4 linked regions of the Saccharomyces cerevisiae S288C genome follow. Changing the gene in region 1 together with any one later gene gives a genetic interaction. Each region holds a gene or a part of one and is shown in the gene's direction. Other genes may lie near its edges.

Region 1 (3,867 bases):
TTTGAATAGAAAATGTGATTCCTCGTAAAACAGACAATCCCATATTCTAAGCGTGGTCTCTATCGGCACTACACCGACAAAGCAACTCATGAACCAGCTCGCCGTGCACAAAGTAATGGGCGGAAGTCTGTACAAGAACTCATTCTTTTGCATATTGAATAAAACTTTTTTATTTGACGGAGAAAAAGTTTTGTTATTTTTTTGGTGGTGGTCAATGGAAGGCTTAATGTACGACCAAACTTCTGGAATATATTCTTTGACACATAGCATCAGTACCCCTTGGTCGATGTTAACACCTTCTAGATTGATATTATGCACCCCCGGTAGGTATCTTGAAGTAATAATCACTAGCATCCAAAAGGCCCTTTCCTCGTCTAAAAATAACAATAGCAAGCCTGCAAGAAAGTTCATAGATTGACAATAGCCAATCTTCGGATTGTAGAGAGAGAACGCAACAAGCACCCGGCGTAAAGATTTTATAATCGGAGGTCCCTCTTTGTTATGCAAGCTACTTTGGAAATGTATATTGTCCGGAAATGTTCTATTCAAGTCACGTTCAATAATATCCAAGTCTTGAACTTGTTTTTCATTAGGGTTTTGTTTCTTGATCTGCTTCATCTTTCGTAAAAGTTGTGAATAGACGCCTTTATTCTTGTTTAACTTCTCTTGCCCTCTAGCGAAATGCCACCATGCATTTCCTCTCCATTCCGCTGGAATGCCCTTTCTGACATACCTTTTTAACCGTTCACTCTTTGATGGAAATCGTGAAGGAGAATCATCGGTCACTGGCAACCCACTTTTCTCCAACAGCAATTGCCATTTGTGCTTACGGCGAACGCAGTACTGCGAATATTCTACCCACCACTTATCGTATTCTGCTTCAGATATGTAATTATTCTGTTTTTTGAAACCGTATCGATCAAAATGGGTATTGTTGATTCCATTGGAATTCGCACTTGTGGCACTAGCGGCACCCTCCAATTCTACACGCTGACGGTTGTCATCATCAGGAACCAAATCGAGGTCATCACTGTGCACTTCCTCCAGATCTTCGTTACCATTATCGCCATTATTATCATCATCATCCTCTCCTTCGGCACGTTGGGATTCCACTTCGTCTCCATACAGGTCAATAACGCTTAAATTCCCATCATGTTCAGAGGGGGATGCTTGGCCCAAACAACTTGGTTCCACAGAGCGATGATCATTCGCTCTAAAGCTTCCGTTCACCAGAGCTGAGTCGCTAGAACTATGATCTGAATGCATTTTATCATGAAAGTTAGGAACAGACGGTGATTTCACCGTAAATGCCCCTCCTAGCCTTTTGTATGGATGCGCCAGTACCGTCCTATTTTGCAGGGAGAACCTCTGTTGATCGTTCTGCATGCTAATTACAATGGTTCTGGGTGCGCAACTCTTTGACTCCTACAAAGCTTCTAGATGTCCCTTTAGCTATTTTTAGCTACTTTCTTTCTACGTGACATAAACGAGGTTTGATCCTGTTAATTCTGATACTGCCCGAACAGAAAAATAGCAGCTATTGAAAGAGAAGATGGAACCCGTTGTATCGGCGAGTAAAGATAAGTACTTTAGAAGAGCAACCCACATCGTTTAGTTACAAGAAAGACAAAAGACTGGTACTACAGATTCGGTGTCCTTTACCTGTTTTCTTCTTTCCTGTGCGCACTTAATCAGTCATTTTAGACTATCGTTTTTAGTAGCACATAAGGAGGAAGACACTCGATGAATAGTCGATTCTGCAAACATGAACTTGTGGAGACATAGTCCAGAAGAATTGGCTGCTTACAATAGCTGTCATCCAATGAAGCTAGGTTCAGGGGTGCTGATACAATTGCCTCTTTATGACAATTCGGCAGTATATGCAGAAGATATTACTTTTAGGAGTTTCTGCTGTGAAAGAGTGCCCGTTTATGTATCTACGGTGCTAAGAAACTCTTCCCCATATAGGTATCTTGATGAGGTGATCAATGACTGGCAAAAATTCATTCAAGTAAGCGATTATGTCGGCGGTTCTGCTGAGTATGCGATTTATGCTGTGATTTTGTCGATAACTTCTAATTTTGTCATCACAGTGTTCCTGACTGTGATATGCTGTATAAATATCAGCGGGCGCGCATATAAGAGAATTCTACAACTACTGAGGATAGCCTCGTTGTTAGCCTCGTTGAACTTAACGATTTTTATCACGAAGGTGTTGCGGAGATTGGAAAAAGAGCACAATGTCTATGGTGTCGTTCGGGCTCATTCCATTATGCACATCTTTTCCGATGATATGACATTTGTTGTCTTGGATTTCTTGGCTACTTTAATGTTCCAATTTTGCCAAGTCGGCATTGTCATTAGGCTATTTCAAAGAGCTCAGGAAAAGAGAATAATTTTTTTTATTGGGGTGATATTAACAATAACCGCAAATATTTTATGGGTAATTCCACCGTTTGCTAACCATACTACAAAACACAGAAATGACTGGCAGATTCTGCGGCCATTTGTTTACCTTTTCCGTATTGCCATCGCCACGTCATATGCATCAATCGTCATTTATCACATCTGGCAGAAAAAAAAATTGTGGTTTAAATTCAATCAAATGGGTTTACTTACGCTATTGACTATTCTTGTGGTGCTTCTATTACCGGGTTTCTTCCTTGCCGATGTGTCGAACTTATGGATATCGGAACTGGGTGAAGTGTTTAACACGACATGCTATGTCACTTCGACCGTGATCACATGGGAGTGGCTGGATAGATTAAATGTTTTGGAAAGAAAAGAGGAAGCGCAAAGCATTTTGGGAAGACCTATCTTCGAGGAAGAGCAACAAGACTATCGGTTTGCCAAGTACGCCTTAAGGGTTCAAAACGCTTTAACCAGGAGGGAATCTCAGGACGCATCAACGGATCGGCACGATACGTCAAGTAATTCGGAAGTATGTGATTTACAGACCATATCACGCTACGACCCAGAAGATCAGATATCAGTGGGCAGAAGCATTGATCGAATGCATTTCAATGATAGGGGAACTTATAAAGATGTAGCGCTGAAGAAATTAGGCTATGCGCGTGATAAAATTTTATACTTTACAGACCAAATCGTCCAGAAAAGCGTAGGCCACAATAATAGCAGCAGCTCGAAAAATGAAAAAACCAAACAGAGAAAGGCCATGGTCAGGAAACGGTTGGGATTAGACAAACCAGGCATATACATTTATTCGACAAAGGATGTCGTTTTCAATTCAGATGAAGATGACGATGAGAACGCGGAAGATGAAGATGACGATGAATATGAAGTTGGCAGTGAAGGCAATAACAATAGCTCTGCCACTTTTACCAGCGACCATATAGGCCATATTTGAAGGACACAGCAGAAACAGTATTACAACAAACCTACATATTTATATATTCCATGCATGCTCAAGATGCATATGCATAATATTTACACGAATTGCGAATATGTCACATAATAGAGCAGTGGATAAGTACTCAATGCAAAATCACTCATAGTAGTCCCATTCTTCAAATGCAGTTTCCAATAATTGTGTATTCAAATTAGTGGGATACCTCGTATACCTCACGCCGCTCCTAGTAACAACATACTTGTCATTGAAGCTGACTTGAACGTCCTTATGTATAGTCCTCCCCCAAAAGGTATTGTGCCTCTTGGTGTATCTTAACCAATGCATTCTCTTGAAATTATGAATCGGACTTGGTTGAATAATACAATCTACGCCATCTTGGAAAAAATATGTGGATGGTACTTCATCTGATAACCGCACTATGATTTTTTCAATATACGCCTTGATTTTGTTTTCAAATTTCTTAGAGTCTCTGGAATTTGTTAAAGTTGACAATATCG
Region 2 (5,234 bases), on another chromosome or scaffold:
TGCTTGGTGTGGCAGAATATAGTCCTTTTGGTGGCGCAATTTTCTTGTACCTGTGGTAGAAAGGGAGCGGTTGAACTGTTAGTATATATTGGCAATATCAGCAAATTTGAAAGAAAATTGTCGGTGAAAAACATACGAAACACAAAGGTCGGGCCTTGCAACGTTATTCAAAGTCATTGTTTAGTTGAGGAGGTAGCAGCGGAGTATATGTATTCCTTTTTTTTGCCTATGGATGTTGTACCATGCCCATTCTGCTCAAGCTTTTGTTAAAATTATTTTTCAGTATTTTTTCTTCCATGTTGCGCGTTACGAGAACAGAAGCGACAGATAACCGCAATCATACAACTAGCGCTACTGCGGGGTGTAAAAAGCACAAGAACTAAGCCAAGATCACAACAGTTATCGATAAAATAGCAGTGTTTGCATGGCCATTGAGAAGGACAACATTGGCGTGCGCGCCAATGTTGTCTCACCATGTAGCTCCAAACGAGTTGTAAGAGACGGACCGCTCACGCTTCCGAAGCGGTCAGAAAACGCTTCCCAGTATGCAGTTGACCTACATTCAACCTGCAAATATTGCTTTGCTTCAAGAAATGATTACACAGACGTCTATTTTCTTCTACATAATGCACGAAACTTGGGCATTTAGTCATGTAGCCGCCTAGCGAGCCTGGGTGCCGTCCTATCTCCTTTGTTCGTGCAAAGAGACAGGAACACACACTGCGTTCTCTTGCGGCCGGTCTGGCGGACTCAGGGGTGCGGCGTTTGCTTAACCGGAGGGAATAATAAAATCGGGGTGACGCAAGTATGAAGTCATGTGTGCTTAGCAATTACGTAGAGGGATTAGAAATAATAGTGTGCGGTTATCGGAACCGGCTCTTGTTCCCGTTTAGAGCAACCCAGGTGCAGGCGTACTTTAAAGTATTTTCTTTCTTTTTTTTCCTGCTACTTACGCTAGGAGCTGCCGCAGCTGCAAAGCCGACGTCGGAGAGGCAGGTGATCTTCGGCTCGGCCGACAAATCCCCTGGATATCATTGGCCTGTCGAGGTATCGGCCGCGTGGAACTACCGGGAATTACTATGCAAAACAATTGGAAATCTGGTAGGAAAACCTTGTTCTAGAACTTGGCGATTGCTGACAAAGAAGAAAAGGGCCTATTGTTGCTGCCTCTTTTGTTGTTCTTCCTCGTATTGTCTTGCCGGTGTTCTTTGTGTCTTTTGTGTGTAGGTTCTTACTATTATAGTGCTCTTTGCTATTATATTTTCTTCGTTTTCACTTTGCGTAATGTAACGGTCTTAAACAAAGTTTTTTTTTTTTCGCTCTTGCATTTTCCTTTTCTGCTCTATCTTATTTGCTAATTGTAGTTTCAGAAGTTTTACTTAAATATAGCACTATTTTCCAGTTTTAATGTTTCTTCTCATTGCTTTCTTTTATAATTTTCGCATATAATTATACATTTACGGTGTCTTAACTCTCCCTCTTCACCCCTCATTATTCCAGAAAATACTAATACTTCTTCACACAAAAGAACGCAGTTAGACAATCAACAATGAATCCTAAATCCTCTACACCTAAGATTCCAAGACCCAAGAACGCATTTATTCTGTTCAGACAGCACTACCACAGGATCTTAATAGACGAATGGACCGCTCAAGGTGTGGAAATACCCCATAATTCAAACATTTCTAAAATTATTGGTACGAAGTGGAAGGGCTTACAACCGGAAGATAAGGCACACTGGGAAAATCTAGCGGAGAAGGAGAAACTAGAACATGAAAGGAAGTATCCTGAATACAAATACAAGCCGGTAAGAAAGTCTAAGAAGAAGCAACTACTTTTGAAGGAAATCGAGCAACAGCAGCAGCAACAACAGAAAGAACAGCAGCAGCAGAAACAGTCACAACCGCAATTACAACAGCCCTTTAACAACAATATAGTTCTTATGAAAAGAGCACATTCTCTTTCACCATCTTCCTCGGTGTCAAGCTCGAACAGCTATCAGTTCCAATTGAACAATGATCTTAAGAGGTTGCCTATTCCTTCTGTTAATACTTCTAACTATATGGTCTCCAGATCTTTAAGTGGACTACCTTTGACGCATGATAAGACGGCAAGAGACCTACCACAGCTGTCATCTCAACTAAATTCTATTCCATATTACTCAGCTCCACACGACCCTTCAACGAGACATCATTACCTCAACGTCGCTCAAGCTCAACCAAGGGCTAACTCGACCCCTCAATTGCCCTTTATTTCATCCATTATCAACAACAGCAGTCAAACACCGGTAACTACAACTACCACATCCACAACAACTGCGACATCTTCTCCTGGGAAATTCTCCTCTTCTCCGAACTCCTCTGTACTGGAGAACAACAGATTAAACAGTATCAACAATTCAAATCAATATTTACCTCCCCCTCTATTACCTTCTCTGCAAGATTTTCAACTGGATCAGTACCAGCAGCTAAAGCAGATGGGACCAACTTATATTGTCAAACCACTGTCTCACACCAGGAACAATCTATTGTCCACAACTACCCCTACGCATCATCACATTCCTCATATACCAAACCAAAACATTCCTCTACATCAAATTATAAACTCAAGCAACACTGAGGTCACCGCTAAAACTAGCCTAGTTTCTCCGAAATGATTTTTTTTTTCCATTTCTTCTTTCCGTTATATTATATTATACTATATTCCCTTTAACTAAAAATTTATGCATTTGGCTCCTGTTTAATAAAAGTTTAAATCGCCTCAAAAGAACAATTGAAAAATATGTAAAATAACAGCAAATAAAAGTCAAAATTAAAACAAAGTACCCAGAGACAAAAAAGAAAGAAAAGAAAAAAGAAACAGTCTACAAATTCTATTTGAATATATAAAATTATATTCTCAATTTTCACGTATATATTCACCTCACAAATAATATCATTCCTTTAAAAAAAAATATGTATTATTGTATAATGTTTCAGCATAGTCGTTTTTTAAGCCCTTTTTTTTAAACTTAAAAAACAAATCAATGAGATATTGTATACCTATATTATCGATAATAAAGCGACGAGGATGGACTGCAAGATATTGGTGTTAGGCGCAGGTGGTCTAGGATGCGAAATCCTGAAGAATTTGACAATGTTAAGCTTTGTTAAACAGGTTCATATTGTAGATATAGACACAATCGAGCTAACCAACCTTAATAGACAATTTCTTTTTTGTGATAAGGACATAGGCAAACCGAAAGCTCAAGTGGCAGCCCAGTATGTAAACACGCGGTTCCCTCAATTGGAAGTTGTGGCGCACGTACAGGACCTGACCACTTTGCCCCCGAGCTTTTACAAAGACTTCCAGTTCATAATCTCGGGGCTGGACGCCATTGAACCTCGTCGCTTCATCAATGAGACTCTCGTGAAGCTTACCTTGGAGTCCAATTATGAAATTTGCATCCCGTTCATAGATGGTGGAACAGAGGGGCTCAAGGGACATGTAAAAACAATCATTCCAGGCATCACTGCATGCTGGGAGTGCTCCATTGATACCTTGCCCTCGCAGCAGGATACTGTGCCAATGTGTACAATCGCCAACAATCCTCGCTGCATTGAGCATGTTGTGGAGTATGTCTCAACTATACAATACCCTGATTTAAATATTGAGTCTACGGCGGATATGGAATTTCTGCTGGAGAAGTGCTGCGAAAGGGCTGCCCAATTTAGCATCTCAACAGAAAAATTATCAACAAGTTTTATCCTGGGTATAATAAAGAGTATCATACCTAGTGTAAGCACTACGAATGCGATGGTTGCAGCGACATGCTGTACGCAGATGGTTAAGATTTATAATGATTTAATCGACCTGGAAAACGGCAATAATTTCACTTTGATTAACTGCTCAGAAGGGTGTTTTATGTACAGTTTCAAGTTCGAGCGGTTACCCGACTGTACTGTTTGTTCAAATTCCAATTCCAACTAGTATTACTAATGAATAATACCATCCGCCGGTGTCACTTGTTTAAACATCTTGCAAGTAAGTCGAGATCCTAGAGAGCCTTGTACATGTGATTGCACAGTAAAGAAGGTATGCAGGCTAAATTATTGTTTACCAGACTAAACTTTAGACGTCCCTCCACAACTTTACGCCAGTTTCCCCTAACATGTTTTTTATTTCATAGCAAAGCATTTTACTCGGATCTGGTCACTAAGGAGCCGTTGATCACACCGAAAAGAATAATAAATAAGACGCCTGGGTTAAACTTATCTATTTCTGAGAGGGCTTCCAACAGACTAGCTGAGATCTACCGCAATAGTAAGGAAAATTTAAGAATTAGTGTGGAAAGTGGTGGATGTCACGGTTTCCAGTACAATCTAACTCTAGAACCCGCTACCAAGCCAGATATTAAGAATGATGTCAAAGACAAGGAGTTTTCAGACGACCTTGACGATGATGATTCCAAGGATATAATATACGTGTTACCCGAAGATAAGGGTCGAGTGATAATTGATAGTAAATCACTAAACATTTTGAATAACACTACACTGACATACACTAATGAGTTGATCGGTTCTTCGTTCAAAATCATCAATGGTAGCCTAAAAAGTAGTTGTGGTTGTGGAAGTAGTTTTGATATTGAAAATTAAGCTGTATTATATTCATCCCTGTATATAGCATGCCCAGCTGCCAAGCATTTTTTTACTTAATTGTCTCTATTATATATTTGAAAACCTAGCAAGAGCATTACGGGATAAAACGCTGCGGCGTTCGCATTATTAATTTGTATTCAAACGACTAATTAAAACTATCTTACAGTTCGTAAAACTTCATAAGTTCGACCATATCTCTATCCTTATTGTCATTCCTTAACATTTTCATTCGAGAACTTCCTTCCATCTCATATATCCAATACTGATAGTTCTCTTCATTATACATTTCAACAAGATCATGTTCACGTATAAATTGTTCAGAATCATCACCATCACAGACATCAAATGGATCGATTTGGAACGAATTATTGTCACCACATCTTAAGTTGGAAAACTGCTTTGTAACACACCAAGTCAAGTACGTATAAAATCTACTCATTAGTAAATCGTTGTACCCACCCCCTCCAAGTAGGAATATGTGCGCTCGAGGATAACTTTTCATGATATTTATGATGATTCGAGAAAGCCCTCGTATTGTTAGCTGCCATTCATTGAATCTATCACCCAGAAGCCCATCACCACCACATTCAATTATTA
Region 3 (8,693 bases), on another chromosome or scaffold:
TATAGCAAGTTATCGTTATACCCCTTTTTAATTGTTGCGTCACATAATCGATACTATTGTTCAAAATAAGAGTGATGCGAGAAATAGCCACAGTAAACAATGTTGCCATAATAAATAGTTGTCGTTTTTATTCATCTCATTTTTCTTATGTATCCATACATATATATATATAATGTAATATAGCCTGAGCAAATGAATAAAGTTTTCGTGGATATCTGCGAAATATACCCTTGCAAGCAAAACAAAAGAACTCTCAGAAAAGGTTATAATACAGGTGCTGGTAGGAGTAAGTACGTTCCTGGGGCTTGGTATTTATCGGGATGAAGTGATCATATGTATTGTTCCAGGTTTAATGAAACACCAAATGTATTTAATCAAAAAGAAAACCTTCCAGACTATTTTAAATGGCTCAAATACAAAATACCGCAACTATGCACTTCGTTTTAGGGATCCATCTAATCTGCAAAGTCGGAAAATGGAAACGATCCTATTGACGCGATCCTTATGGGGTAAATTAAAAAAACCTTCACGTTAGGATACTACAGCTGAAGTAAGCGTCTCACGTAGCGCGCAGTCTATTTTTGGAAGTTAGGGGCTAATGATTTTCTACGGCTGCCGAGCATGGATGATGCCTTTATTTAGAAGCATGTAAAAAAAGCGTCTCAAAACACGGAGAAATGCACTAACAATGGGTATACTAGACTTGTTAAATTCAAATTTCGGCGAAAAGAGACTTGTATTTCATTAGTTACTTTTCGTTCAGTTAAGCATGATCGTCTAGGCGTTCCATTAACTAGTATCTTGGTTCTTTATGTAGTTTGAAGTTATCTCTGTAATTAGGCTCCTCATTTGCCAAAGTTAAGTATTGGATGTGTGTGCAGTATGCTTTCATGCCTCTATAGCAAAAATCAATGGCTCTCAAGAAATTTGTCGTAACCCACTTTAGCATATTTATTTACATTTTGTCGGAATATTATTTCTTCTCTACAGAAAAATGAAAGCAACAGAATTGAATTTCGACAAGTCACAAACAAACTTTGTAGACTTTTTATTACAAAAATTTATTAAGTGACATTCACTACTTGTATTATTGTGAGAGAAGTACATAGCACCGGGAATCTTAGACAGGGTTACTACTAACTACAACCCTCATACTGCCTTACGTAGCCAAACAAGAGCAGTTCTCAGATTACAATGGGAGATCATTTGAAAATATCAAAGATTGATCAAGAATATTTTACTGGTGGCATCCGCCCGCCCTTTAATTTCGGAATTTAGTGCTGCTTACAACTCTTCATTTTCCTCATGCGGGACGCCAGCTTTGGTGCGGGATGAAGGCAATATCCAAACCAGCATCAGGAAAAGCCTGAAGAAATGTGGTGCCTAATGCTCTTATCTAATCTGTATCCACACCTTACAGCGAAGTGTTCAATTAACTGTGCGGCTAATTCTGACACTTCATCAAAAATTACACCGGTATATCAAATGGCGGTGTAGTTTGAAAAGTACACTGTATGTCCATTAATAAAATTACGCCGAAGAACACTGACTAGCTATAAATTCTCTTCCGGCGTCCAATTTCAACCTAAGGCAAGTATTGTTAATCAATAATGCGTGTTGGTAAATATGAAGCCCGATGTTGATTAAGAAGAATTATTCGTATAAGAATTAAGCAAGCAAAATTAAGGAAAATTTTTTCTTTCCTATTCGTCATCGCAGACAGCCTTCATCTTCTCGAGATAACACCTGGAGGAGGAGCAATGAAATGAAAGGAAAAAAAAATACTTTCTTTTTCTTGAAAAAAGAAAAAAATTGTAAGATGAGCTATTCGCGGAACATTCTAGCTCGTTTGCATCTTCTTGCATTTGGTAGGTTTTCAATAGTTCGGTAATATTAACGGATACCTACTATTATCCCCTAGTAGGCTCTTTTCACGGAGAAATTCGGGAGTGTTTTTTTTCCGTGCGCATTTTCTTAGCTATATTCTTCCAGCTTCGCCTGCTGCCCGGTCATCGTTCCTGTCACGTAGTTTTTCCGGATTCGTCCGGCTCATATAATACCGCAATAAACACGGAATATCTCGTTCCGCGGATTCGGTTAAACTCTCGGTCGCGGATTATCACAGAGAAAGCTTCGTGGAGAATTTTTCCAGATTTTCCGCTTTCCCCGATGTTGGTATTTCCGGAGGTCATTATACTGACCGCCATTATAATGACTGTACAACGACCTTCTGGAGAAAGAAACAACTCAATAACGATGTGGGACATTGGGGGCCCACTCAAAAAATCTGGGGACTATATCCCCAGAGAATTTCTCCAGAAGAGAAGAAAAGTCAAAGTTTTTTTTCGCTTGGGGGTTGCATATAAATACAGGCGCTGTTTTATCTTCAGCATGAATATTCCATAATTTTACTTAATAGCTTTTCATAAATAATAGAATCACAAACAAAATTTACATCTGAGTTAAACAATCATGAATTCAACTCCAGATTTAATATCTCCACAAAAGTCAAGTGAGAATTCGAATGCTGACCTGCCTTCGAATAGCTCTCAGGTAATGAACATGCCTGAAGAAAAAGGTGTTCAAGATGATTTCCAAGCTGAGGCCGACCAAGTACTTACCAACCCAAATACAGGTAAAGGTGCATATGTCACTGTGTCTATCTGTTGTGTTATGGTTGCCTTCGGTGGTTTCGTTTTCGGTTGGGATACTGGTACCATTTCTGGTTTCGTCGCCCAAACTGATTTCTTGAGAAGATTCGGTATGAAGCATAAAGATGGTAGTTATTATTTGTCTAAGGTTAGAACTGGTTTAATTGTCTCCATTTTCAACATTGGTTGTGCCATTGGTGGTATTATTTTGGCTAAATTGGGTGATATGTACGGTCGTAAAATGGGTTTGATTGTCGTTGTTGTTATCTACATCATCGGTATTATTATTCAAATTGCATCCATCAACAAATGGTACCAATATTTCATCGGTAGAATTATTTCCGGTTTGGGTGTTGGTGGTATTGCCGTTTTATCTCCTATGTTGATTTCTGAAGTCGCTCCTAAGGAAATGAGAGGTACTTTAGTCTCCTGTTACCAACTGATGATTACCTTGGGTATTTTCTTGGGTTACTGTACCAACTTCGGTACTAAGAACTACTCCAACTCTGTGCAATGGAGAGTTCCATTAGGTTTGTGTTTTGCCTGGGCTTTGTTTATGATCGGTGGTATGACTTTCGTTCCAGAATCCCCACGTTATTTGGTTGAAGCTGGTCAAATTGACGAAGCAAGAGCATCTCTTTCCAAAGTTAACAAGGTTGCCCCAGACCATCCATTCATTCAACAAGAGTTGGAAGTTATTGAAGCTAGTGTTGAAGAAGCTAGAGCTGCTGGTTCAGCATCATGGGGTGAGTTGTTCACTGGTAAGCCGGCCATGTTTAAGCGTACTATGATGGGTATCATGATCCAATCTCTACAACAATTGACTGGTGATAACTATTTCTTCTACTATGGTACTACCGTTTTTAACGCTGTTGGTATGAGTGATTCTTTCGAAACTTCTATTGTTTTCGGTGTCGTCAACTTCTTCTCTACTTGTTGTTCTTTGTACACTGTCGATCGTTTTGGACGTCGTAACTGTTTGTTATATGGTGCCATTGGTATGGTCTGCTGTTATGTAGTTTACGCTTCTGTTGGTGTCACCAGACTATGGCCAAATGGTGAAGGTAATGGTTCATCCAAGGGTGCTGGTAACTGTATGATTGTCTTTGCCTGTTTCTATATTTTCTGTTTTGCTACCACTTGGGCTCCAATTGCTTATGTTGTTATTTCTGAAACTTTCCCATTGAGAGTCAAGTCTAAGGCTATGTCTATTGCTACAGCTGCTAATTGGTTGTGGGGTTTCTTGATTGGTTTCTTCACTCCATTTATTACTGGTGCTATTAACTTCTACTACGGTTACGTTTTCATGGGCTGTATGGTTTTCGCCTACTTCTACGTTTTCTTCTTTGTGCCAGAAACTAAGGGTTTGACTTTGGAAGAAGTCAATGATATGTACGCTGAAGGTGTTCTACCATGGAAGTCTGCTTCATGGGTTCCAACATCTCAAAGAGGTGCTAACTACGATGCTGATGCATTGATGCATGATGACCAGCCATTCTACAAGAAAATGTTCGGCAAGAAATAATTTCACGCTAAACCGTAGTGCTGAATAATAGTGTATTTTAAGATTCGATGTGCTAGTCAATAATGATAAATAATACACAAGATTTATGACTTTATATATATAATTCTCTGATACAGTTAATAAAAGACATTGGTACATGATATCAAACAGAATTTTAACATTTCTTGATCCAGTTTGTAAACAAAACAAACAATTTTTCTACCATTTAACTTCATACCATCGGCGAGAGCCGAACAGGAAAAAAAAGAAGTCTCCGGTTATCGTAAGCAGTATCAAATAATAAGAATGTATGTGTGTGCAATTTGTTATACCCACGAAGAAGTGCGCAGTAGAGTTAGAAAACCAACTGAGTAATCTTTACTCCCGACAATCGTCCAATAATCCTCTTGTTGCTAGGAACGTGATGATGGATTTCGTTTGAAATCCGGACGGAAAACTCAAAAGAAGTCCAACCACCAACCATTTTCGAGCCTCAAGAATCTCTAAGCAGGTTTCTTTACTAAGGGGATGGCCTTTCTGTCCTGGACATTTTTTCCTTCCTTTTTTCATTTCCTTGAAAGGAACAGATTTTTTTTGACTTTTGCCACACAGCTGCACTATCTCAACCCCTTTTACATTTTAAGTTTTCGGGTTGAATGGCATCAAATTTGGGAAAATTTAGCTTACTCAGACACCAACACATTTTTTCATGAGTATTGTTGGAAAATCTTTCCATGCTTATCAGCCGGAATACGGAACAACGGCTGCTGTGATGCCGCAAAGGGGCAAGGAAAAAATAAGCAACACACACCGAAACAGGAGGAAGAAATTCCGAACACAAGCCTAAGAAGACACCGCAGTTGTTGCAACATGTTCACATGTTCATCCCCCTGCTACTACTTGGAAATTAATGTAGGGGTAATTGGAGTGCGCCGGCCCGTGCTTTCAGAGGAACAAAGGAAGAATTGTTAAAAAAAGGCAGTGACAACGAGCACGGGTGCACCATATGGTGTGATAAGCAACCTAGGACAAAAAGAAGTGCGCAGTTCCTGTGTGCGGCGCCAAGACAAATGTTTCATATGCTTCTCCAAGGGGCTACGCTACCTAGCCTCACCACCCGATCTCTTTTTTTCCTGAACGCAGAGGGGACCGTACGAAAAAAAATGTTTTTTAGGCAACGGAGATTCGTTTTATCCACGTTTACCCCACAAAAAGTGCAGGTACATTGTGGGGCCCCGGCATCGAAAACCAGTTTTTTTCCTTTAAACGCTGGAAAAAAAGGAGAAATTATTGGAACTTTGCAGAGAATAGTCCGTAGGCAAATTGAAAATGTTCCTTAAAAAATTTCGTTTCTTACTCATTGAGATTATTCAGATGCCCTCCGTGCCTTCATTGAAAAAAATCCAAGAGATGTCTCGGATCTGTATGCAGATTTTGGCTTGCAGACAATGGAGAGCAAATGGGTATACAATATAGAAAGCACAGAAACATATAAAAAGAGCTCGAGAAAAGACATATGGTTTGTAACTATCTTCTTCTTTTTTCCAATTTTTCTGTTTTAATAATAAAAAAACAAGAACAAACAAGCTCAACTTGTCTTTTCTAAGAACAAAGAATAAACACAAAAACAAAAAGTTTTTTTAATTTTAATCAAAAAATGTCACAAGACGCTGCTATTGCAGAGCAAACTCCTGTGGAGCATCTCTCTGCTGTTGACTCAGCCTCCCACTCGGTTTTATCTACACCATCAAACAAGGCTGAAAGAGATGAAATAAAAGCTTATGGTGAAGGTGAAGAGCACGAACCTGTCGTTGAAATTCCAAAGAGACCAGCTTCTGCCTATGTCACTGTCTCTATTATGTGTATCATGATCGCCTTTGGTGGTTTCGTTTTCGGTTGGGATACTGGTACCATTTCTGGTTTCATCAATCAAACCGATTTCATCAGAAGATTTGGTATGAAGCATAAAGATGGTACTAATTATTTGTCTAAGGTTAGAACTGGTTTGATTGTCTCCATTTTCAACATTGGTTGTGCCATTGGTGGTATTATTCTTTCCAAATTGGGTGATATGTACGGTCGTAAGGTGGGTTTGATTGTCGTTGTTGTCATCTACATCATCGGTATTATTATTCAAATTGCATCTATCAACAAATGGTACCAATATTTCATCGGTAGAATTATTTCCGGTTTGGGTGTTGGTGGTATTGCCGTTTTATCTCCTATGTTGATTTCTGAAGTATCCCCAAAGCATTTAAGGGGTACTTTAGTCTCTTGCTACCAATTGATGATTACTGCCGGTATTTTCTTGGGTTACTGTACCAACTTCGGTACTAAGAACTACTCCAACTCTGTGCAATGGAGAGTTCCATTAGGTTTGTGTTTTGCCTGGGCTTTGTTTATGATTGGTGGTATGACATTTGTTCCAGAGTCTCCACGTTATTTGGCTGAAGTCGGTAAGATCGAAGAAGCCAAACGTTCTATTGCCGTTTCTAACAAGGTTGCTGTTGATGATCCATCTGTTTTGGCTGAAGTCGAAGCTGTCTTGGCTGGTGTAGAGGCAGAGAAATTAGCTGGTAATGCATCCTGGGGTGAATTGTTTAGTAGCAAGACAAAGGTCCTTCAGCGTTTGATCATGGGTGCTATGATTCAATCTCTACAACAATTGACAGGTGATAACTATTTCTTCTACTATGGTACTACTATTTTCAAGGCTGTTGGTTTGAGTGACTCTTTCGAAACCTCTATTGTCTTGGGTATTGTTAACTTTGCTTCCACCTTTGTTGGTATTTACGTTGTTGAGAGATATGGTCGTCGTACTTGTTTGCTATGGGGTGCTGCATCCATGACTGCTTGTATGGTTGTCTATGCTTCCGTGGGTGTCACCAGATTATGGCCAAATGGTCAAGACCAACCATCTTCCAAGGGTGCTGGTAACTGTATGATTGTCTTTGCCTGTTTCTATATTTTCTGTTTTGCTACTACATGGGCTCCAATTCCTTATGTCGTTGTTTCTGAAACTTTCCCATTGAGAGTCAAGTCTAAGGCTATGTCTATTGCTACAGCTGCTAATTGGTTGTGGGGTTTCTTGATTGGTTTCTTCACTCCATTTATTACTGGTGCTATTAACTTCTACTACGGTTACGTTTTCATGGGCTGTTTGGTCTTCATGTTCTTCTATGTTTTGTTAGTTGTTCCAGAAACTAAGGGTTTGACTTTGGAAGAAGTCAACACCATGTGGGAAGAAGGTGTTCTACCATGGAAGTCTGCCTCATGGGTTCCACCATCTAGAAGAGGTGCCAACTACGACGCTGAAGAAATGGCTCACGATGATAAGCCATTGTACAAGAGAATGTTCAGCACCAAATAATTTGCGAACATTTTTATTAATTCATGATCACGCTCTAATTTGTGCATTTGAAATGCACTCTAATTCTGATTTTATATTTTTAATGAACCCTTACGATTTATATTGTATGGCAAGATGTTGCCAATAGAAGTATAATTTTTTATTAATTTTTTTTCTTTTCTAAGCTTTGAAGAAAAGTTAACAGCTTTACCCTTCAAAGTTATTGTTTTGTAGCGCTAGAAGCGAAGTAGGCGCTCTTTCTCGCATAAGCTACCTTAGGAGGAAAAAAAAAGTCTTCTATTATAAACAAAGTACTCTATAATTCATCAAAAAAATTAATTATGAGCCGGAGCTTTTCACAATCAGTGTACATATGCAGGGCTCACCTCGGTACTGCGCTTTTCTACCTGAAATTAAATAGAGTCACCTCATTACAATGAAGCTACTAAACTCCTCAATGTTAAACTGGCATTGCGACAGAGTAGAGAAGGCTTGTCAATAAACCTGAATTTTTGGTAATAAAAAGAAAATGGGGATCATATTAGGCCTTTATGATCATCCTTGGCAAACTACATCCCATATATGTTTGAAAAAGGGTTAATGATATGAAAATGTTTTTATTTAATAAGAAATGATGTACTACTGGCGGCGATTGGTAAAGAGGATCTAAGTTTTCTTTCCTGGCAGATGATAAACAGTTAGCATTCCCCAAAAAAAATAATTTCACCTTGTTAAAAAGGTAATTTGCGAGAAAACATGAACAGTCTGCCCCTTAATGAACAGTTTTTGGCCAAAGTCCTATTCGAATATATTTTAGTGGAAGAAAATCTTGTAGGCTGTAAACTTATTGATAGGCCCATTTGGTACTATTATATGTTATTTCAGCAACAATTTATGGAAAGGTTGCCGTAAGTAACCTTTAGATGGCAGGAAGGAAAAAAATCATGCTTTAAGAGTGGCTTCAGTAGCTAAAAAGGTAGTATACATCGCACAGTGAATATTCGCCCCAATGGACGGAAAAGTTCATGCAAGATTAAACGCAGTACCAGAAAGCCGCGTTTGTATGGTTTTATTGGCGTCCATACAAATAACTTATTAGCGGGGTGACAATTCAGAGACAATTCTAATGTCGAAAAGTGTACCATCACTAAAGTATTCCAGGGACTTCTGCCCACCACGTAGAAACGCG
Region 4 (4,250 bases), on another chromosome or scaffold:
CATTAATTGTAATTTCTTTATAACATCTTATTGGATATCATACGAATGTTTTTAAATTACAAAATCATTAAATCATAAAATGTTCAGTGAGTACAATCTCCCAAAGTCTACGTTTACTGTAATTTATCGCTATTTACAGGGACGCTGCAGCTTAAATATTAGCGCCTAAGTTAGTCGAAGCATTCTGTCTTGCCCAATTCTGGACAGTAGCAGCGGTCTTTAAACCCACCCCACTCGGCCAACATTTCTAATTTTTCCTTTGGCTCTAAGAAATATTCTCCGCTTAATACAAAGGTCCCCCAATGAACGCCTAATACATTTCGAGCTTCTAGATCTTTCATAATCTTGAGAACCTCTTGAGGATTAATATGTCGTGGTTTTTGGTGCCACTCAGGGCAATACTGACCACATGGAAGCAGCGCTAATTTACAACCTTTGCCAAAGCGTTCTTTAATTCTAACGAATAAATCTTTCACATATCCAGTGTCACCAGCATGAAAAAGTATGGGATTACCATGGTGTGTTAATAAAAAGGAGCACCATAGAGACTTGTTCGTATCTAAGAGCGATCTCCCAGACCAATGCATGGCAGGAGTAGCCGATATGTGGTATATCTCATTGTTTTTCTTTACTTGCAAAGTTTCCCACCAAGATAATTCTAGGACATTATCACAGCCGTTACTTGTCATATAAGATTTCATTCCTTTAGGTACTATCCATAAGGGAGAGTCTTTGCCACTCCAGTATTCCAAGCTTTCTAAATCCAGGTGATCGGGGTGATTATGGGATACAAGGATGATATCTGGTTTGGGCACCTCTGTAATTTGAGATGGCATTTGAGTAATTCTTTTAGGACCCAGGGTCTTGTGGATAAGAAAGTCACTGAACAGAGGATCAGTAAGTATCCTCAATCCATTATAAACCGTGTAGTTACAGGACTGGCCCAGCCATGTGTTATAGACTGGGCACTTTGATCCTTCATTTTCTTCTACTGCAGTCGGTATGTGCAATTCGTCTAACACTTTGCATTCTAGCGGCAATGCCGTTTCCTCTGCGGGGTCGACGTCCACTAAGTTAGGCCCCCATGTTGGCTTGTGTACAGGCATTAACTTATTCATTTGGTGTACATCACGTGGAATACCTCCCCTATTTCTTTCAAATAATTCGAACACTCTATTTGCAAAGAATTCAAAAACGGTCTGAATCCTGTATTCTTCGAACGGGTTCTCAAATCTGCCTAAAACTTCCAAAGGGCTATATTTTAGCAAGGATCCCTTATAAGTGACCTCGTTATTATTCTCCTCTAATCTTTGACACATTTCGTTTCTTAAATCAATTTGCTTCACTGTAGCCAATGATACATAAAACGCATATCCTGTGTAAGGTACCAAAACAGACAACAGAAGTATACGTGCGTATTTTCTCGAGCATTTTTGTATAGGGCGTGTCTTTTGCGAAGCATGTCTTTTGAAAGTTGACAATGATGTCTGGGGTCTAAACAGCTCTGATTCTCGTAAACGCACTAGTCTCCTTTGGAGAAGAAGCCTCATCTGAACATGGCAGGTAACAAAATTCATTTGCAACACAAGCAGGCATGCAATCCTTCAGTAATTGGAGTGCTACTGTTCACACCATATTCTCGCTATTCTCGAACTACGTTTTTTTTTTTTTGTTAAGCATCAGTAGTGAGTCTTCGGGAACTGCTTAACGACAGTAAAGGAAAAAAAAAACTAGCAGCTGTTGATAATATTCAGAAAATGAACGCAGAAGGAATCATTAGCTAAAAAGTTTATTATTAAAATCAGACATATATCTCATTATAATATTTTTTTTTTATAATACCACCATTTGTTCTCATATAATACTGATAAATATCGCATCGAATGGAAAAGACAAATAGGAGGCCGCTATTGTAATTTGGGCCTTAACCTATTTATTCTCTCTCTTTTAATTGATATTTTAATCTTTTTGAAGCCTACAATGTATTTTGGGCGATAATCAAGGAGAATATCAGTGTCATATACTCACTGTGGTAAATGTATTTCTAAAGTAGTTCCAATTCTTTCTTCAAAAAAGGCCACTAGACGATGTGCTTTCTTGCACAAGCATTTTGCTGGGCTATCTTCAATAGTGATAATTCTAACTAACTCAAAACCAGATGGCAAGTTCTTCCCTATGGTCGACTTCTCTCAGACGCAATAGTAGCTATGTTATTGATGGCTTTTGACGCCAGACCGGGTAAAGCGCATGGAATGAACTCTAAACTGTTAAAATAACAAAAACGACATATGAAGATGTCGATGAGGCTGGATAGTTTAGAGATGAGGTGCAGAGAACAACATTGTATAACAAATTCGGCTCCCAAATATCGCATGTACCATGTCATTTCGTAAAAGAGGTGAAATACTGAACGATAGAGGTAGCGGGCTAAGAGGTCCACTGTTAAGAGGTCCTCCACGAACTTCCTCAACGCCATTGAGGACAGGCAACAGAAGAGCCCCTGGAAATGTGCCCTTGTCTGACACTACAGCGAGATTAAAGAAGTTGAATATTGCGGACGAATCCAAGACAAAAATGGGGCTGGATAGCTCCCATGTGGGCGTTAGACCTTCTCCTGCAACCTCTCAGCCGACGACATCAACTGGGAGTGCTGACCTGGACAGTATACTAGGCCATATGGGGCTGCCGCTGGGAAACTCTGTACTAGTAGAGGAGCAGAGCACGACAGAATTTCACTCTATTCTCGGTAAACTGTTTGCCGCACAGGGTATCGTTCATAATAGAATTTCAGATAGCAGTGCTGATAAAACTAGAAACGGCGACACTCATGTCATTGTCTTGTCATTGAACCAAATGTTTGCAAAGGAGCTACCTGGTATCTACAAGGGATCACGTAAACAAATGAAGAAAAACCTAATCTCTGAAGAAGAATCAAAAGTTACTGTTCAAAATTTGAACGAGACCCAGAGATCGACGCCTTCCAGGTACAAAGACCTGAAAATTGCATGGAAATATAAACTGGCAGATGAAAAGAGATTGGGTTCTCCGGATCGAGATGACATCCAACAAAATTCTGAGTACAAGGACTACAATCATCAGTTTGATATTACAACGCGTCTGATGCCCGCTCCCATAGCATCTGAACTGACATTTATCGCCCCAACTCAACCTGTCTCCACTATTTTGAGCCAAATAGAACAGACTATTAAAAGGAATGACAAGAAACTGATAAGAATTGTTATTCCTTCCCTTCTACATCCGGCAATGTATCCGCCCAAAATGTTTGAATCATCTGAAATAATAGGTTTAATGCACGGTGTGAGGAGTCTTGTCAAGAAATACTATGAGCGGGTTGTACTGTTTGCTTCCATATCCATAGACATTATCACTCCCCCATTACTGGTATTGCTGAGAAACATGTTCGATTCTGTTATCAATCTAGAACCCTTTAACCAGGAGATGACTGAGTTCTTAGAACGTGTTTATAAATCGCAACCGGGGAAGATTCAACATGGGCTAGTCCACATATTGAAATTACCAGTTTTCACGGACCGTGGAGAGATGAGAGTTTTAAAGTCTGAATGGGCATTTAAGAATGGCAGAAAAAAGTTTGAAATAGAACAATGGGGCATACCCGTGGATGATGCTGAAGGTTCAGCTGCCTCGGAACAGTCACATTCACACTCGCACTCGGATGAAATCTCACATAATATACCTGCAAAGAAGACCAAGATATCTTTAGACTATTAAGAATATGGTTCAATTTATGGGAAATATACGGCATGCTTTTTAACAAGCGTGGTGAATGTATTATTTTTTTATCTGTTATATCTTAAATACGACTATTATATATATATCCATCGTCTTTTTCCTGACTCTAAGCGGTGGCAGCTGGAAGGTAGAAAAAGGTATCGCCTAGATGTCAAAATATGAAAAAGTGAAATGAATATTAACAAAAAAGGAGCGTGAGCTGCAGAAAGAATTTGACCAACAAAAGACAATTCCACTCCTTTGGATTTGAAATAGACAGATAGAAAAGGATATGAAAGTATTACAATTCAATCAAGATGCAACGTGCTGTGTGGTGGCCGCGTCATCGCATCAGATTTCGATTTTTAACTGCGACCCCTTTGGTAAATGTTTTGAAATTGACACTAAGAATTCCAAGAAGAAGACTTCAAACAATAACGGTTCAGCTTCAAACTCAGAATCACGGAATAATGAGGAGAGCATATTAATAACTAATGGCT

What was found.
Region 2: mutations in RIM21 (region 1) and ROX1 together harm fitness more than expected from each alone (negative genetic interaction), as found in Saccharomyces cerevisiae (2 studies listed by BioGRID).
Region 3: mutations in RIM21 (region 1) and HXT3 together harm fitness more than expected from each alone (negative genetic interaction), as found in Saccharomyces cerevisiae (2 studies listed by BioGRID).
Region 4: mutations in RIM21 (region 1) and ELP4 together harm fitness more than expected from each alone (negative genetic interaction), as found in Saccharomyces cerevisiae (2 studies listed by BioGRID).

The regions. Positions count from the first base shown.
Region 1 is NC_001146.8:78,159-82,025, reverse strand, and holds RIM21 (Rim21p), read left to right. Parts: upstream 1-1,765; coding exon 1,766-3,367; downstream 3,368-3,867. Other genes in the region: Rab GTPase-activating protein MSB3, read right to left, coding at 1-1,386; MRX6 (Mrx6p), read right to left, coding at 3,506-3,867. UniProt on the Saccharomyces cerevisiae protein: Required for the proteolytic cleavage of the transcription factor RIM101 in response to alkaline ambient pH. Required for growth at alkaline pH.
Region 2 is NC_001148.4:678,144-683,377, forward strand, and holds ROX1 (Rox1p), read left to right. Parts: upstream 1-1,549; coding exon 1,550-2,656; downstream 2,657-5,234. Other genes in the region: YPR063C (uncharacterized protein), read right to left, coding at 1-50, 137-177; YPR064W (uncharacterized protein), read left to right, coding at 808-1,227; NEDD8-activating protein UBA3, read left to right, coding at 3,070-3,969; ISA2 (Isa2p), read left to right, coding at 4,077-4,634; HOS1 (histone deacetylase), read right to left, coding at 4,798-5,234. UniProt on the Saccharomyces cerevisiae protein: Transcription factor that represses the expression of HEM13, COX5B, ANB1, CYC7 or AAC3 (hypoxic function). Binds to the DNA sequence 5'-RRRTAACAAGAG-3'.
Region 3 is NC_001136.10:1,158,440-1,167,132, reverse strand, and holds HXT3 (hexose transporter HXT3), read left to right. Parts: upstream 1-2,472; coding exon 2,473-4,176; downstream 4,177-8,693. Other genes in the region: YDR344C (uncharacterized protein), read left to right, coding at 4,684-5,127; hexose transporter HXT6, read left to right, coding at 5,813-7,525. UniProt on the Saccharomyces cerevisiae protein: Low-affinity glucose transporter.
Region 4 is NC_001148.4:357,830-362,079, forward strand, and holds ELP4 (Elongator subunit ELP4), read left to right. Parts: upstream 1-2,379; coding exon 2,380-3,750; downstream 3,751-4,250. Other genes in the region: FMP30 (N-acetylphosphatidylethanolamine-hydrolyzing phospholipase D), read right to left, coding at 171-1,577; ATG21 (Atg21p), read left to right, coding at 4,043-4,250. UniProt on the Saccharomyces cerevisiae protein: Component of the elongator complex, a multiprotein complex which is required for multiple tRNA modifications, including mcm5U (5-methoxycarbonylmethyl uridine), mcm5s2U (5-methoxycarbonylmethyl-2-thiouridine), and ncm5U (5-carbamoylmethyl uridine).